Linked DNA regions of Drosophila melanogaster. The protein of the gene in region 2 binds, or shares a complex with, the protein of the main gene of each other region. Each region holds a gene or a part of one and is shown on either strand. Other genes may lie near its edges. The genes, in order: Orc2, Orc3 and Orc4. A codon is read from its position in the direction of its gene.

Region 1 (4,659 bases), on a different chromosome or scaffold from region 2:
CCATTGTATGTGTACTTCCGATTGACTTCGCATGTGATTTGCTATCAAGAAAGTGTAAATAAACTAGCCTTAGTCGCAGCAATTACATTTCGTTTCGAGTGCACAATTAACTAGTTACAAGTCCAACGCTTTAATCTGTGTATGTGCGTGTCTGTATAGTGAATAGGTAACCGATATTAGCCTTTGGAATGGATGAGGAGCACGGAATGGTCAGGCGGTAGTGAGTCTTATCATTTTTGGCATGCTTAGCTATGTTTAGTTCGCCTCTTCTGATCCTTAAAATCGTATCCAAATGCGCTCTCATCCCCGCAGTCGTCGAGCACTTGCAGTGCTTTGTGAAGTTTTGTGTTGCTATATGCTCGCAACTGGAGCTGAGGAAAAAAACTAGCCATCCTAGAATGTGTATCTTCGAGCAAAGCGACAAATTTTATGCATGCCAATCTTAATGTGTAGAAATTGACAAAAAAATAAAAAAGAGCGAAAACAAACACTGCGCACTCATCATGGGCAATACAAGTGACAGCAACACAACATTTTTAAAAAGCGAAATTGTAATTGTATTTAACAATATTAGATAATAAATTAATATGTTCTAAAATTACGCCGATGGCCTATTTCTTCTCCTGCTCCTCGAGAAACTGCTGCAGCAGTGCGCCATCAATGGGAATGGTTAGCTGTTCGGAGCCATCAACGCTCCGTTTCGATTTGACCAGCTTGTGGTCGAGGAACTCGGTGAGCTGGGCACGCAGTGCCAGATCTGAGCTGACCAAAAATGCTTCGCGACAACTCGAATAGAGATCCCTGAACGGCATGCCCTGGTATGTGGCATTGCCCTTGTTCTTCAATTGATACTTAACAATCAGCATGTAAATGCCACGCGAATTGGTCGTTAGCGATGAGAAGACACTGCGCATCGAGGAGAGGGCCAATTCGCCGGAATTCTGCACCAGCAGCGAGTTCTCGAACGCAGTTTCGTTCGTATATGGCAGCATTGTTGTGCAGTCCCACCACGAGAAGTTGAAGCTGCACAGCTTTCCCTGGTCCCACACTGCAAATTCGTAAACAATAATTAGTTTTGCTGTCGCACTATAAAGATCTCAAAGCATCGGTGCACTCACACAGTGGGGTATTTATGTGATCAATGGAGGCCAGTAGATGAATGTTCGGTATGCGCGCCAGGCGCGAAAGAATCGCCTGTGCCTTCACATTGCGAAGCATGGCTCCATCCAGATTATGGACGATTAAGAACAAATGTGTTTCCGGTATCAGTGCGAACTCCTCCTCGATCATATCCACTGCTTCATGTGGATTAGCCGGACTAATGCCCGCATCTAATATGTCGCTTGTGATGCTATCCAGCATATCCTTGATGGTCAGACTGGGAAAGAAGCCATTCACCACCAATACCGTTTGCTTATGCAAAACTTCCCGATGGAATGACTGCAGCAGCTGGTGCTTGGAGCCCAATCCATATAGAAGTATATTGAAGCCTTCGTTCAGAATACACATCCACTTGGGAAAGTACGATCGATACTCCTCCATAATGGCATTAATAGAACCCTCATGCTCCGCCGATGTCTTGATTTCCGACAGCAAACTGAAAACACGATCGGCGGCCAGGCGAGGATTCTTTAGGCGATCCAAGGTGTGATCCGAAGTGAGGATCTTGCTGCTGGCATGCGAGTGAAAGTAACCATCGCTCTCGGGCACAAACTCATTCGATTTTTTCGCCCTCGCCGATTGTCGCAGGCGGGCTGCCGATGGAGTTTTCGGCAGAACGGGGACTACAATGGCACGGCGGGCTCTACTGGGCGTTTTGGGCTCATCATCGGCGGCGTCGTTGTCAGAGGAGTTGCCAGCATCGCTGCTACTGCTGCTGGAGGAGGATTCCTCGTCACTGGGCCGGAAATCGCTTTCATCTCCAGAAAAATCCTCATCTGAGTCGGCCACTATTTTGGCAATCTCTGAAAGTGATAATGAATTTATAAATAATGGAAAAAATGGTAAAAGGACGCAGAAAAAGGCTACCCACGCTTCTTGACGCGGGTGCGCACATGGGCGGGAGTCTTTGGCTGATCCATGGACTTCTTGCGCTTCGTATCCGGCGTCTTGACACCCAAACGCGGCGTTTTTGGGGTCTTGGGCGTGCAGGGCGTGGCATTTAGGGCGGCCAGTGCCATGGCATCGCGTTTCTTGGGCGTATTGAAGCCAAACATGCTGGTGCCGGCCACATTGTACTCGGATTGGATGAGATGCAGATCCTTGGCAGCGGGACGGGCAGCATTTTCCGACTCCTCGATGCTTTCTTCTTCTTCCTGATCCTCCGCATCGCTGCTCCGTTCATCGGACATTTCCACATAGTTCACAACAATTCGCTCTTCCTGGCCTTTTCCATTGCTTTCCTTCTGGTACGCCTGGTATTTCTTGGTGGGACTTGGACGTCGGGTGGAACGCCGACTGGTGACCTTGGGCTGAGATTCCACTGCATTCCCAACCATTGCCGTGTTCAAGTCCTCGGATTCCTCCTCCGAATTGGTGAGGTTCTCAATGGACATGAGGTTCTCCTTCCGCGGCGTCTTGTAACCGCCTTTGTTGCTGGCACTCATGACGCTTGCCACTTCACTGGGGGCCCTGATTATCAAAATATTCAATTGGTAAACAAATAGTTCGCAAAATATACTCAATGCTCAGAAGTGGCGGGAATTATCGATAACTAAGACATGCCAAGAGTGTGGCCAGCTCTCGACCTAGGAAGTAGCTAAGTTTCTAGCGTAAAAAAAACTAAAGGGGCATGACAATTAAAACACAAATGTTATAAATATTTGTATAAATATATATTTATATAGGTAATAATTACAAAAAGAAATTCCGTGACACAGTTTTTAGAAATAACTATATTGTTCGAATAAGAATTGCATACGTTATCGATAAATTTAAATTAGAATCCAGTCACTGACAAAAGCTGAAGTGTTTGTTGGCAACACGTGCGCGTACAAAGCGGTTATTTTTTCACTGTCACAAATTCCTTGCGGATTAACCACAAACGTTTTTAAAACTAAAAAGTGTTAAAATCGGTAAGTTTAGGAAAAACAATATTTGAAGATGGGAAAATTACGCTACGTTCTTATTCTGAATTGCGGTCGTCAATGGACTTGCGGTTAATTTTCAAATAATATTGCCTATATTGGCAAAATAATAACACAAAGTAGATTTGCGTTTTCAGATATATTCAAACAGGTTCAAAGAGTATTCAACTTCCATGAAAATGGCTTGGCGAAATTGATTGTAACTGGAATATGTAGAATATTTAGCATATGTTGTGTCGTTTTAATTAAAGTTTAAAAACTTCGTAAGCCTTATTTTTCCTTTTTTAATTAACGATCAAGTTTACTTCCATCAGTGCGCTGTAAATCGAAAACCAACCGATATCGATATCGTCCTGTTCTCTTTCTTCCCACGTTCGTTCAATGCACTGAAGCGCGTGCCCAGCGAGCTTCGAATTTAAACGCGTTTAGTGAACGTATCGCATGTTTGTGAGTTGTGAATCGCGCACTTAAATTCTAAAGGATTCCACCTTTTTCAAAACGAAAACATAGAAAGTTCTCGTCCAGCGTAAATAGATTTTCACTTTGTATTTCATCGCGTGCTAAAAGTTCTGTTAGCGCCATTTTGCTGCGTTTCCTTTAACGCGCCGTTCTTTCATTCACACGTTCTTGCGTTGTTACTTTGAATTGAAGAAATGGAAAAGTCGGAGGAAAAGACATGCGTCGTCTGTGGCACTCCGACCAGATTGATGTGCCAGCGGTGTGGAGAACCGTACTGCAATGAAAAGTGCCAGAAATTGGATTGGCAGAGGCACAGGCAGGTGTGCATCATTATGCCGTGAGTTAAATTAGTAAATCCGTTGCGCAGCAGTGCATTAAGTTAGGGGTTTTTAATTCTTATACAATACAAATGCGTTTCCAGACCCTTGGTGGAGTGCCGGCCTCTTCAACCGGCGTTGAATCCAATCCAGAGCGTAGAGAACCAAGTTGCTCTGGCTAAAACTCGCACTAAATCGCCAATCCCATGTGTGGAGCCCACAGTTGCTGTGCCGAACAAGCCGGATCTATCGGAAAACTGGCGCAAACATTTGCTGCCGTCGGGCATGGAGTTTTTCAAGTGCCGCGTGACTTTCATGGAGAACGATGGACCCATTTGGGTGGTGCACGTGGCGAATGTGGAGGCCATTGAGCGAATGACGGTCAACATGCAGCGCTGCATGCAGAATAAGAAGATGATTCGTATGGAAGGAGTGCGGGAGGACACCCTCGTGGCCATCAGTGTGGGCGACAAGGTCCATCGCGGTCATGTTTTGACGGTTTGCCAAAAGAAGCAAGAAGCCAATGTCCGTATGATTGACCACGGTCAGATAGTAGCTACACCGTTTCGGGATATCTACACCATTGTGCCCAAGATGGCCGAAAGCAAGGCGTTCGCTTTCCGTGTTCAATTGCCCACGAACACTGGAGTTCAGGACATTAAGAACTTGACGCTCCGTATGTTGGGAACCAAAACCAGCGACGGAGCTTATCACGTCCATCTAAAGCCCAAGATGATAATACCACTAAGTTTGCCCTTGGAGATGCTGCAGCTTAATCCAGAAGTCAAAGTCATCCG
Region 2 (6,394 bases):
GGATTCGGTGCCCAGTGAAATACTCAAACGCTACGCCAGCGATCTGGCCACAATCTCCTACTGCTCCAATGTGGTCTTTGACAGTCCCGCACCGCAGGGCTGTGCGATCCTCACCGTGACGGGCCAGTGCGAGGTGCACCTGCTGCTCAAGGGACTCGTGGAGGCGGACAAGGAGATAGCCAAGCTGCAGAAGAAGAGCGACCAGCTGGTGCAGACGGTGGGCAAGCTAACTCAGGCCATCCAGGCCGCCGACTACGCAACTAAGGTTCCCGCCGAGGTGCAGGAGGCCAACGAGACAAAACTCTGCGAGTCGCGGGCAGAGATCGAACGCATCGCTGCCGCCATCGAGACTCTGAAACTAATGTGAACAGGGAACGTGGTAACCGCTAGTCGGGAAGACTGGTAATTGATATTTAGTACGCTTGCCTTGCCAGCTGCTGGGCTTTACTTAAAAAATACAAGAACGCGCTTCACTCGCAAACAAAGTTAATGCATTTCGTACAGAGTAGACAAATCGATTGATGTTTTATTTATTCATAACGTCCCACACATGAAATTTGCCCCAATATAAATAAATAGAAAAGATAAAAATACCTAAGGGATTTTGGTTATTCATAGCCCGAGCGAGCTACCAGGTTAATCGAGTGGCATGATCCGTCTTGCGCTTCGACATCTTAATGTACCCCAGAAACTGCAACTCGGCTACGGCACGCGTGAATCGGGCCCTGGTTGAAAGGAAAACCAAATGAAATTGATGATATTACAGAGAGAAATCCATTTTTTTACTCACTGGATCTGGGGATCGATTTGTTCCTGGGCCACTTCCTCGTGGTCGCTGTCGCTCACAACAGATCGAAAGGCCTGCAGCCAGTCGAAAAGGTTGATCATGCGACCGCACTCCAGGTGCAGCTTGTAAACCACGGAGAGATCGGGCAGTGTGCCAACCAGCAGTGATTGATCTTGTAGCTCGCAGCACTTGCACTGCATGTAAAAATGTGGATTATTCAGGGCAGTGTGCAGTGCAGCCCGCGGAGCACCAATTATGTTTCGCCGCACGGTAGCAATGTCGCTGAACACAAAAAGTTCGTGAATAGGTGGTGCATCCTGCAGCGCACGGAGATGATCCTGTACAATCTGCGTTTCGATAAGCTGCAGAGTCTTTTGTAGAGCTCGTCCGAATTGGGTGGTGGGCGTGTTCAGCTGATGCCGCATCTTGTCCTCCTTGCTACGCTGTAGGAGCTGATCTTTCAATTCTTGACGCGAGGCCACCGGAGTCAAATGGTCAGTCGCCTGGCGGGTTTCATTGGGCGATGTCGTTGTAATTGTCGCCATGGTGGCCTTGACCACTTCGTCCACTGCAAGGCGTATAGCTTCTAACTTAGGTCTCAGCACAGCAGTGCAGGCCTCGCCCAATTCCAGCGGAGCAATTTCTTCAACCAGGAACTGTTCGGTTCTTTCCAGGGCTCGATTCACTTTAGCAACAAATTCGTCCTTGGACAGAAAGCTTAGCATCTGCAGGCACTCCTTGTACTCCGGCGTCGAAATGATCGCACGATTAAGACAGTTGACGTACAGTTCCCGGCGTAGCTTTCCCAGCGGACAGCGCGGCAAATCACCAACCAGCTCTGTAAGGAACTCCAGAGAGCAGCGGAAAAGCAGGAAGTGGAGCAGGCAGTCGCGCAGCAACTGCGGCAGTTTCTTCTTTAGGTAGTCATCGTCCGTGAGCACGGCTATGATGCGTTTGCAATCATTGATCTGCTCGACGTACGGACGAAACGATGGGAGCCTTCTGATGGTTTCCATATCCTCGTGGGTCAGCTGCTTTATGCGTCCCAATGCTTTGCTGTAGTCTGTGCAAAGAGCAAAGGCATTCCCACCAAAGAAGTGTTCCATCAGGCAGTACTTGAAGCCCTGAATAAAGCCGTGGATGGAGAAGTCGTAGTATAGGAAGATGTGCGTCAGGAACTTGAATGTCTTTCCCGACAGGTGGAAAGCGTACTTGGGCGACAGCAGAACTTTATCCAGCACCTAAAGGTTGTTAGAAAACCGATTAGTACATAAACTAGCACAGAGTTAAGGAATATTACCTCATTAAGGCCCGTGGGAGCAGCTTGAGTCTGGAACACCCTTAGACGAATCTTGCTGCTGACGTGGTATGGTAGTGTCCCATGGACAGCTGTCATGGCCGTGGCCACTCCCAGGACCAGGACGAATGGAAGCGAGCCGCAGTGAGCGCTCAAAATTAGAATAAGATCCTGCAGCACGCTTGCGTTAAAGCACTCAAAGTCGGGAAGGATGACGACCAGCTGGCGGCGCTTCTGTTCCGAGTCAAAATTGTTCGTGTACCAAGACTTCAACTGCTTCATGGTGCACTGCGAGCGACGTAGCCGCTTGCGATCCCGTTCGGCACCATCCTCGTCCTCGTCCTCGTCTTCCATTTGCTCCACTTCTGCATTATCTTCTACGAGCCCGAAAACCAATGTCTCAACGGCCGCCTTGAGAGTGGCGCAATCCCTGGACTGCAGCACACATACCATTGCAGCACGTTGGGCATGGAGTCGCTGGGTAAGTGCCGTGAACTGGCTGAGATGATCCGGCTGATTAATGCCCGTTAGCAAGGCGGCGGTGGGCAGCACCTCGTCCGGGGTGTCGCGCTCTGCCTGCCCCACCACAAAGTCCACCAGTTGCTCCAGAGTGCGGGCATAGCTGCGGTGCTGCAGGTCGGCAATGTGATCGTTTATCTGATTCCAGGCCTTGCGATATTCCTCATAGAAGGGCTGCTGCACTACCTCTTTGCCAAGAAGACTACTGGATTCTGCGGCAGGACGCTTCCGTTTGCTGGCCGCCTTTTTCCCTGCTCTCGTAGCGCCATTTTTGTAGACAAAACAGCCCTGCAGACAACAAAAATAAGTAGTTAAACATCTATGTCCAGTTTGGAAGCCGAAGCCACTCACCTTGGACACTGAAATGGTGGGATCCATCGCTGGCTTTGCACTGCGGCCCGATGTCGTGGAGTCTTTAAGTCGCCGGGTTGCGTTTATTTATTTATTTGTTTAGGTCAGCTCTGTGCCAATTAAAGTTTCTTCACCGGTAGGAACGCGAAATGAAATCAGCTGGCTGTTGTGTTTGGCGCCAAACGGGCGGCAGTGTTGGCTAACGACTTTAGGGGGTATCTTTGAAAACAAGTGTGAAAAGTATAAATTAATTGAATATTTCATCTAACATGAACTAATAATAAGAAATCATACCCTTCGTGCTCGTACGCCACCATTTTGGTGGATACGAATTCGTCGTAGTTTCTGTGAACAGCACCAAGTTTTTTGAACGTTCGCCATCGCAACGATCCGACCATTTTGGGGCCACTTGGAATGAGAAAAGATAGAGGAGCAGGAAATCGAGGAACAGTATGATGGCTGCCAGGAAGTAGTCCTTCGTGCGCATCTCGGCGAACCTTCCACCGTTTATAATCTGCGCGTGATACATGACAAACTGTAAGGAGGAAACTAAATGACAGAAACTAATTCAAAAATGTATGACTCAGTACTAACCATCAAGATGCTGATCACTATAAAGCAACGGGCGATTATAAACGAGTATGCGACATTAGCCACGATGTAGAGCATCACGAAGTATATGGCGCCGATAATGGAAACCACTGCAAGCACAAATAGCACCACAACATCCAAAGTAAGATCCAGCTTAAGGGGATAACAATAAAAATGTGAAGCTTCAGATTTGAATCAAATGGCTTTCATGTGGACTCTTCTTACCGGAAGAAAGGAACCACAGACAATAAAAAGCGCCAATGCTACGGTCCATATAAGGAAGCTGAAGAGAAACTGATACTTGTAGTGGCGGGCAACCAGCGGTGCAATCCCCAGTACAATGCATTCAAACTGGAAAGAATAAGTTCATACTGCCACCCAGGTTATGTTTCACATTGTAGACTTACAATTAGAAAGGCAAACAACCAGTTTACCATTTTATTAAAGCGCAGTACCTCGAAAAATATGAAAAGTACGAGGAGTATCAGGCCTATTCCAAAAAAAAGGCAGCTCAACCAATGGTACGAAGTAAAAAATTCCCTTAGAAAATTTCTGAAAATTAAGAAAAAGTGCAGTGAGGATGAAGTAATGTGAAAATACATACGTACACAAAGCGGAAAGTGGCCCATTGCAACAGCGCAAGGATCAGGAATATCGCGGTTAGTAGGTAAGTGATCAGAGCGAACTTTCTTCTTTCCTTCTTGTAGTAAGAACTTTTTTCCGGAATGTCTGCCATTGTGTAGTGTTTCTCGAGTATTATTGTTTGTATTGTGATGTTTTTTTTTAACGAATTTAAGTGTACAGTAATACGAAATGGGAACTAGATTGATTTTAAAATTATATTCTTGGGAAAACACGTAAGTGCATAATAAAATTTTTAAAATATTCGTTTTGGCGCCAAATGTTGCTGCTGGATATCGATATCCACTATCAGGGTTGCCACATTTTCAGCCGGTCAGCTGTTGCTTCCGATAATCAACTGCATCTTCTGTTATCGATTGGCGGCAACACGGGATTTTCTAACAATATTAAATAGAATAATAATAATAATTACATTTATACAAATACACGGCAGGGAAACAAATTGCACGCCAGTTTGGAGGAAATGCTCAGGACAGTGACCATTGAGCTTTAGTGGAACTTTTATTCCCTGAAACAAAAATCAAGAACATTGAAATTCTTTTGTGTTTCGAATTTTGATCAATTTATGACTGAACAGGTAATCAATAAAGTAGCTCCATTAAAAAACAGTAACTCTAACAATTCATTTTATGTATCCTTGTTTAAAGGGCAGCCAAGAAGAAACGTAAGCGATTGGTATGGAAACGCCTGCATATGCCACGAAATCTGGCGGAGAACTGGTGCTGCCCGAAGCTCTGGAGGACTTGATGGATTTGGAAGACCAGGACGCGGGCGGGATGAAGTCCAACGTTAAGGATAAATCCATGGATTTGGATATCTATCACGATTTGTACGATATAGAGCCTGCAGGTTCAAAGAAGCCTGACCAAATGGACAGATCCCTTGAACTGGACATCTACGATGATTTGGACGACTTTCAGAAGGCCGAAGATCGTGTAAGTTGTGCAGGAATACGTCCTTTCAGCAGAGTTACCCATTTACCATCTCACAGAATACCAAGGAGCTACAGGCATGGGAAGCCAAATACGAAAAGGCACTGGCCGAAATTGAAGCGCTAAAGGTTGAGAATAAGGCACTTGGCAAGAAGATAAAAACCATGGAGGTTAATCTACAGAATCTACTGGACACAGCTAAGGCGGAGGTAAAGAGAAAAGAGACACTGATTGCCGAGCTGCGAAACGAGTAAGTTAGCATATTGACTCCCTGCTTCTTAACAAACAACACATTGTTCAACAGAAAGGACGATGTATGCTTCCGACGAAAACGAGCACGGGCGTTTGACGTACCAGGTGCAAGGGAACCCGAAAGTAAGCGTCCGAAAGAATTTCAATCTACACCAATCGATGTCAGGAAATATCCGGAAACGAATAGAAATCCGTTCAAAACGGCTGCAAAGGACGCCGCTAAGGATGATGCTAGGAAGATGATGACCAAAAAAGATGACACAACGAAAGTCGTATCAAAAGATGTTGAAAGAGGCGTAAAATCCAAGGAGGATAATAAGATGGCGACCAATAAAGATGATGACAAGAAGTCATCCTCAAAGGATGATGCTTGGAAATCTAGGACAAGAGAAGACGCCAAGAAATCGGTCCAAAGAAGCAAGTCTCCCAGGCCGGAACACTCAAAGACCACCGATCGGAAATCTACTGCACAGGCTCGTCGTCCAGATCCACATCGCAGCCGGAGTCCAAAACATAATTCCCGGCGAGATCATCACAGGAATCAAGAAAGCAGTTCCCGGCACGCCAAACGGCGAAGCCAATCCGCATCGCCCAGGTCAGTAAAGCAGAGGGACATAAGTTACATTTGTTGATAGCACCATCTGATTTTTGTAGCAAGATACAATTGCCAAGAGAAAAAGCAAATGCCATCATCACACTTACTGACGATGAAACAAATGACCAACGCAGCAAGAGCCCAGTCCCCGTGACCGTCAAACTCGTAACTGAATCTCAACCGGCTGAAAAAGTCGTTTCCAACCGAAGGGATGCTGCTTTAGAAACCAATGCAAATTCCTCAAAGGAATCAAAAGTAGAGACGAAGGATATTACTCAACCGACAAATGGTTTAATTGCTGAACCTTGTATTCCAAAACATGAGATTATTCCGGGGTTAAGCTTAATTAACCCAGAATCGGCGGATTTTTCTAAAAATGAGATCAAGTTAGATCCTGTAATCTTACAGGATCGTACAGAAGACTCTGG
Region 3 (4,073 bases), about 12 Mb from region 2:
ACGCCAGCAGAGGAGTAACAGAGCTCTGAAAACAGTTCATGGTTTAAAAATATCCTTTAAGAAAGCCCATGGGTATAACTTACGTGCTCACTGCGTCCTATGCGAGGAATGGTCTTTAGGTTCTTTATGGCAAAGTTCTCGCCTCGCTTGCCCAGCCGCGGTACGTTCTTGGTGATCTTTAGGAAGAATCCTGGACTACTGTCGTCTGCCTGGCTTATGGCCACAAGACCCACCAAGAGCGAAACAGACAGGACTGTTATGATTCTCATGCTGATGCGACTGAAGCTTCACCTGACTCCTGCTCCACAATTGGTGGCCTTTATATAGCGAGATCCACCCGCATCTTGCGTGGAATAGAAATGCGGGTGACTCCAGGAATTAGCATTATCGATCGGAAAGTGCAAAGCAGATAAAACTGAACTAACCTGACCTAAATGCCTGGCCATAATTAAGTGCATACATACACATTACATTACTTACATTTGTATAAGAACTAAATTTTATAGTACATACCACTTGCGTATGTAAATGCTTGTCTTTTCTCTTATATACGTTTTATAAATTAAAATTAGTTTATTTTCCCAAAACAGGGCTTTACCAACTAAATGATTCGGTACAATTTTTTTTAAATAAATAAATATACAAAGTATTTCTGATCTGCTGCTAAATCAGAGAGCTTTGCGCCCACTGAGCAACCTCTGTGGGAAGGGCCTGGTATCGCTGCATACAGTGGTGAATCTGGCTGTATGTCAGCGCCAGCTTATGCATCTCAAACTCTTTCTGCACCTTACCTACGCCCCCTCCAGCTCCACCGGTGAGCGGCATGATCAGCTCTGCGATGCGTAAATGCTCGAAGGCCTTCAGGACAATGGACCGCTCCACGGCCTGCATTGTGGTGGACACTTTGGCAAACTTGGAAAAGCGCGCGTAAATGATCTCGAAGTTGAAGGAATCGCGATCGTAAATCTGCGAATGGTGCTTGATGGCGATGATCAGGCACAGCTCTAGGACTGAGAGCCCGCAAAGCAGCTCTATCTTGTCGTCGCCCTCAAACTGTGATCCCACTGCAGCCATTTTTTCGGCTGTGATGTGGGGAGATTGCGGTCGGAGATGTGCCACCAGGCGGAATAGGAAGTTCTTGAGATAGGCCTCGCTAATGTCGAAGTCATGGAGCGCTTGGAGGGTGCTTCTTGCCTGCTGAGTGGCCAGGACTTTGCATATTTGCTTGTTCCAGGCATCGCGTAGTCTGGGCGAAAAGCCGTACTCCCCGGGGTCAAAATGGTTGCGGGAGAAGTAAAGTGCCCCCGACTGGATGTTTTGTAGGTTATAGATTTTCTCCGCCGCCAGCAACAGTGAATTGCCGGTCGGGAGGGACAGTAGATCCCTGCACAGGTCAACGTAATCCTCAAAGCGCCGCAAGCTGGGAAAGAGAAAGACCTGCCGGTGCGAGAAACGCGACTTGACCCGCTTCTCCAGCAGCTCGATCACGTCGAGGCGACAGGTAACGCCAAGTACACAGATGGGCGCCTGGGCTGACTGGGAGACGTCGAAGAGGTTGTAGAGCAGGGTCTGGTTGTGGTGAGCACAGAAGAGGTCGAACTCCTCGAGAATAAAGATCACGCTCTTGGAATGCTTGCCACCCGCCTTGAGGCATTGCAGCAGGAAGGCGAGGTTCTCGGCGAACGATCCGAACACTTTCCCATCCGCAGCGTTCTCCAGCTGCATCTGCACAGTGATGGACTTCAGGGCCACTCGGTCGTCCGTGTGCAGATTACCGTCCAGGTGGACGATGAGAGTGTTTTCCCCGAACGATTTATTGGGCAGCAAATCGGCCAGCACGGAGTTGATGAGCTAAAGAATTTGAAAGCATAGATTACTGGATTGGTTTCCCGGTAAGGCCTGCACTCATACCGTTGTCTTTCCGGATCCCCGCGGCCCAAGGAGCAGCAAGGAGTTGGATTCCCCCATTTCAGCTGTGCGTTGCAGCAATAGGCGCACATTGGACCGCTCCTTTGCGTAGCCCCTCAAGGTGGTGTAGTCTCGCTGGAGGCGCTCCTTCAGGAAGCGCCTGATGCTGACCAGCTCCCTATCCGCCTCCGGCATTTTCGCTCTCGGATCGGAACTCCTTTATTCCTCCTTATTTATTAGTTAAATGGACGCACAGATAGTTTGGATTTCTGCCAGTAATTAAGTCGCGCCAAAAAACGTCAACAATGCATTGGGGATGGAACAAAACCGATATTGGTTCATTTAATGTACGGTGGTTTGGAACTCTGATACTACTCAGTGTTGCCTTAAGCCGCCTGAAAAATATATTCGTGCCACAAACCAATACGATCTAATTTCTGCGGCTTTAGCACATTTTGAAATATCAACATTTTAGTTCATACAAAATGGACCTACGATTGAGGAATATGTACAATAGTAACTCTATAAATAACAATCAATTATACATATAAACATCTTTAAAAATATGAACAAATTTCTTTATTAATCGCATAGTCGTTGGCATTTTGAGGGTCAATTTGCTGGAATAGGTTTATTTGGAATGCTGTGTATTTTAAATGTCCATTAAAATAAGTTATTAAACACTCAATGGATTCTCAGAGATTATTTAATATCGGCTGGCAATTTCATAACAGCAATGGATCGAGTAATCACAATTAATAACTTTTGGAATGCTTCAGCTTTTGGCACTCGGTATTGTGGTTATTGTGATCCAGACCTCTTTAGGAATGAGCGGATTGTGGACTTTTCTGCTGATTTTTATGTCTCCGATGGCAGTAAGAATCGAATGCGTATGGCTAATAGATGGCACTATAGAATAATTGATATCCAAAGATCCGAGGACACTTCGAATTCAATAATGTAGTCTGCCTCGTGCGCGACAGGATGTTTATGGACTTTGAGTACTGTTACTTGAAGTCCGTGAACCGCACCTACAAGTACCTTTCGCTAAAAACAAAGATGTTCCGCCTGCCCGTCGACAACTGCGAGGTAAGAGTATAGAACTGTGTCGGTCTCACACCACCCGACCATCTTCCAGACCAGATTCCAGCTGAGGATGCGCGAGAACAGGCGAGTCCTGTACAACTTTGATTTCAAGGTGGACTCCTGCAAGTTCATGCGCGACCGCAAGCACGTGATCGCCAACTGGGTCTACCAGACCTTCGGCCCCTACTCGAACCTGAACCACACCTGCCCCTACGACGTGAGTGAGCGTTGCCATGTTCATGCCGCATAACCTTCGCCTTTCTCACCCACCCACCCACAGCACGACATCGTGCTCGACAAGCTTCCCGTGCAGCATCTGAACAAGCTGGTCCAGTCGATCATCCCCGATGGCAGATACATGATGAACAGCACATGGATGGTCGCGGGCATTCCGCGCACCGATGTCATCCTATACTTTACCAAGAGCTAAACAGTCAAATCCAGTAATATCCAGGCTCTTCAACCCGTAAGCAGAAATATTGGTAAGGTGTTATGCCGTTTTAGTATTGGATGGGGGTCAGCAGGACCAATATAGTAAATATAGTAAGTCTAAGTGGGTCTGTATGTGATGTATTTGTCACATTACTGAGATTTACGAAAATAAATATAGTGTAGTGACGAAAGTTAACTTAAACATGTACATAGGTTTCAGACTAGGCCAGTTCGTAAGCGTTAACAATTATGTGCAGAGTTTCTGCACAGGTGGCTGGCAGTGACCTGGATGCACTGCACCTGTCGTCTGTCAAGTGGCTGCTAATGCGATTAGGGAGCACACAGAAAACGGGATTGGCACTCGGGACTGGCAACTCAGCTGCCAATCAGGTGGGCCAGCCACAAACTTCACACATTTCGGACACATATATCAATCCACTCCACAACCAGAAGGACACGAAGTAAAGTAAACACAACCCCACACCCCTGACAAGATGCCGGCGGACATAGTGACCACGGAGCAGCTGCGCTACCAGCTCGCCTTCAGTCATGCCATGGAAAGGACGACGAGGCACTGGCAGGAGACCTTCGCGTGGTACCCTAAGATGCAGTGCTGCCATTATCAGCGGATTGACCAGATCTATCTG

Evidence for each region.
Region 1: the proteins of Orc3 (region 2) and Orc2 are in contact, whole or in part, in a cryo-EM structure (PDB 7JK6), measured with the Drosophila melanogaster proteins. Residues at the interface, in NP_476904.1 of Drosophila melanogaster: Gly10 (codon at 2,891), Cys11 (codon at 2,888), Phe12 (codon at 2,885), Val13 (codon at 2,882), Tyr14 (codon at 2,879), Lys15 (codon at 2,876), Asn16 (codon at 2,873), Ala18 (codon at 2,867), Thr19 (codon at 2,864), Arg20 (codon at 2,861), Ser38 (codon at 2,807), Leu39 (codon at 2,804), Leu40 (codon at 2,801), Tyr50 (codon at 2,771), Tyr53 (codon at 2,762), Arg54 (codon at 2,759), Asn106 (codon at 2,603), Pro108 (codon at 2,597), Arg135 (codon at 2,516), Asp136 (codon at 2,513), Ala142 (codon at 2,495), Arg177 (codon at 2,390), Arg180 (codon at 2,381), Asp308 (codon at 1,938), His312 (codon at 1,926), Gln316 (codon at 1,914), Lys319 (codon at 1,905), Tyr320 (codon at 1,902), Met323 (codon at 1,893), Phe327 (codon at 1,881); in NP_731873.1 of Drosophila melanogaster: Ala331 (codon at 1,548), Ile332 (codon at 1,545), Lys342 (codon at 1,515), Met344 (codon at 1,509), Cys345 (codon at 1,506), Ile346 (codon at 1,503), Leu347 (codon at 1,500), Asn348 (codon at 1,497), Glu349 (codon at 1,494), Phe351 (codon at 1,488), Tyr356 (codon at 1,473), Leu358 (codon at 1,467), His369 (codon at 1,434), Lys375 (codon at 1,416), Thr377 (codon at 1,410), Val378 (codon at 1,407), Leu379 (codon at 1,404), Val380 (codon at 1,401), Val381 (codon at 1,398), Asn382 (codon at 1,395), Phe385 (codon at 1,386), Asp392 (codon at 1,365), Ser396 (codon at 1,353), Asp400 (codon at 1,341), Ile401 (codon at 1,338), Leu402 (codon at 1,335), Asp403 (codon at 1,332), Asn410 (codon at 1,311), His412 (codon at 1,305), Glu413 (codon at 1,302).
Region 3: the proteins of Orc3 (region 2) and Orc4 are in contact, whole or in part, in a crystal structure (PDB 4XGC), measured with the Drosophila melanogaster proteins. Residues at the interface, in NP_476904.1 of Drosophila melanogaster: Ala217 (codon at 2,270), His250 (codon at 2,171), Gly251 (codon at 2,168), Leu253 (codon at 2,162), Pro254 (codon at 2,159), Tyr255 (codon at 2,156), His256 (codon at 2,153); in NP_477320.1 of Drosophila melanogaster: Lys395 (codon at 861), Glu398 (codon at 852), His399 (codon at 849), Ile402 (codon at 840), Lys419 (codon at 789), Lys422 (codon at 780).

The regions. Positions count from the first base shown.
Region 1 is NT_033777.3:13,962,955-13,967,613, reverse strand, and holds Orc2 (origin recognition complex subunit 2), read right to left. Parts: upstream 2,730-4,659; 5' UTR 2,681-2,729; intron 2,623-2,680; 5' UTR 2,607-2,622; coding exon 2,033-2,606; intron 1,965-2,032; coding exon 1,119-1,964; intron 1,049-1,118; coding exon 612-1,048; 3' UTR 539-611; downstream 1-538. Other genes in the region: Kots (kotsubu), read left to right, coding at 3,740-3,882, 3,967-4,659. UniProt on the Drosophila melanogaster protein: Component of the origin recognition complex (ORC) that binds origins of replication. DNA-binding is ATP-dependent, however specific DNA sequences that define origins of replication have not been identified so far.
Region 2 is NT_033778.4:13,202,228-13,208,621, forward strand, and holds Orc3 (origin recognition complex subunit 3), read right to left. Parts: upstream 4,321-6,394; 5' UTR 4,282-4,320; coding exon of another isoform or gene 4,154-4,281; intron 4,098-4,153; coding exon of another isoform or gene 3,953-4,097; intron 3,897-3,952; coding exon of another isoform or gene 3,771-3,896; intron 3,699-3,770; coding exon of another isoform or gene 3,549-3,698; intron 3,490-3,548; coding exon of another isoform or gene 3,249-3,489; intron 3,174-3,248; coding exon of another isoform or gene 3,163-3,173; 5' UTR 2,982-3,162; coding exon 2,955-2,981; intron 2,892-2,954; coding exon 2,088-2,891; intron 2,029-2,087; coding exon 791-2,028; intron 726-790; coding exon 629-725; 3' UTR 501-628; downstream 1-500. Other genes in the region: ValRS (Valyl-tRNA synthetase), read left to right, coding at 1-367; CG34315 (uncharacterized protein), read right to left, coding at 3,163-3,173, 3,249-3,489, 3,549-3,698, 3,771-3,896, 3,953-4,097, 4,154-4,281; FLASH (FLICE-associated huge protein), read left to right, coding at 4,865-5,122, 5,179-5,369, 5,424-5,966, 6,026-6,394.
Region 3 is NT_033778.4:24,795,190-24,799,262, forward strand, and holds Orc4 (origin recognition complex subunit 4), read right to left. Parts: upstream 2,226-4,073; 5' UTR 2,104-2,225; coding exon 1,912-2,103; intron 1,852-1,911; coding exon 664-1,851; 3' UTR 551-663; downstream 1-550. Other genes in the region: ETH (ecdysis triggering hormone), read right to left, coding at 1-25, 84-269; CG12849 (uncharacterized protein), read left to right, coding at 2,736-2,783, 2,842-2,997, 3,047-3,211, 3,275-3,424; CG3611 (uncharacterized protein), read left to right, coding at 3,921-4,073.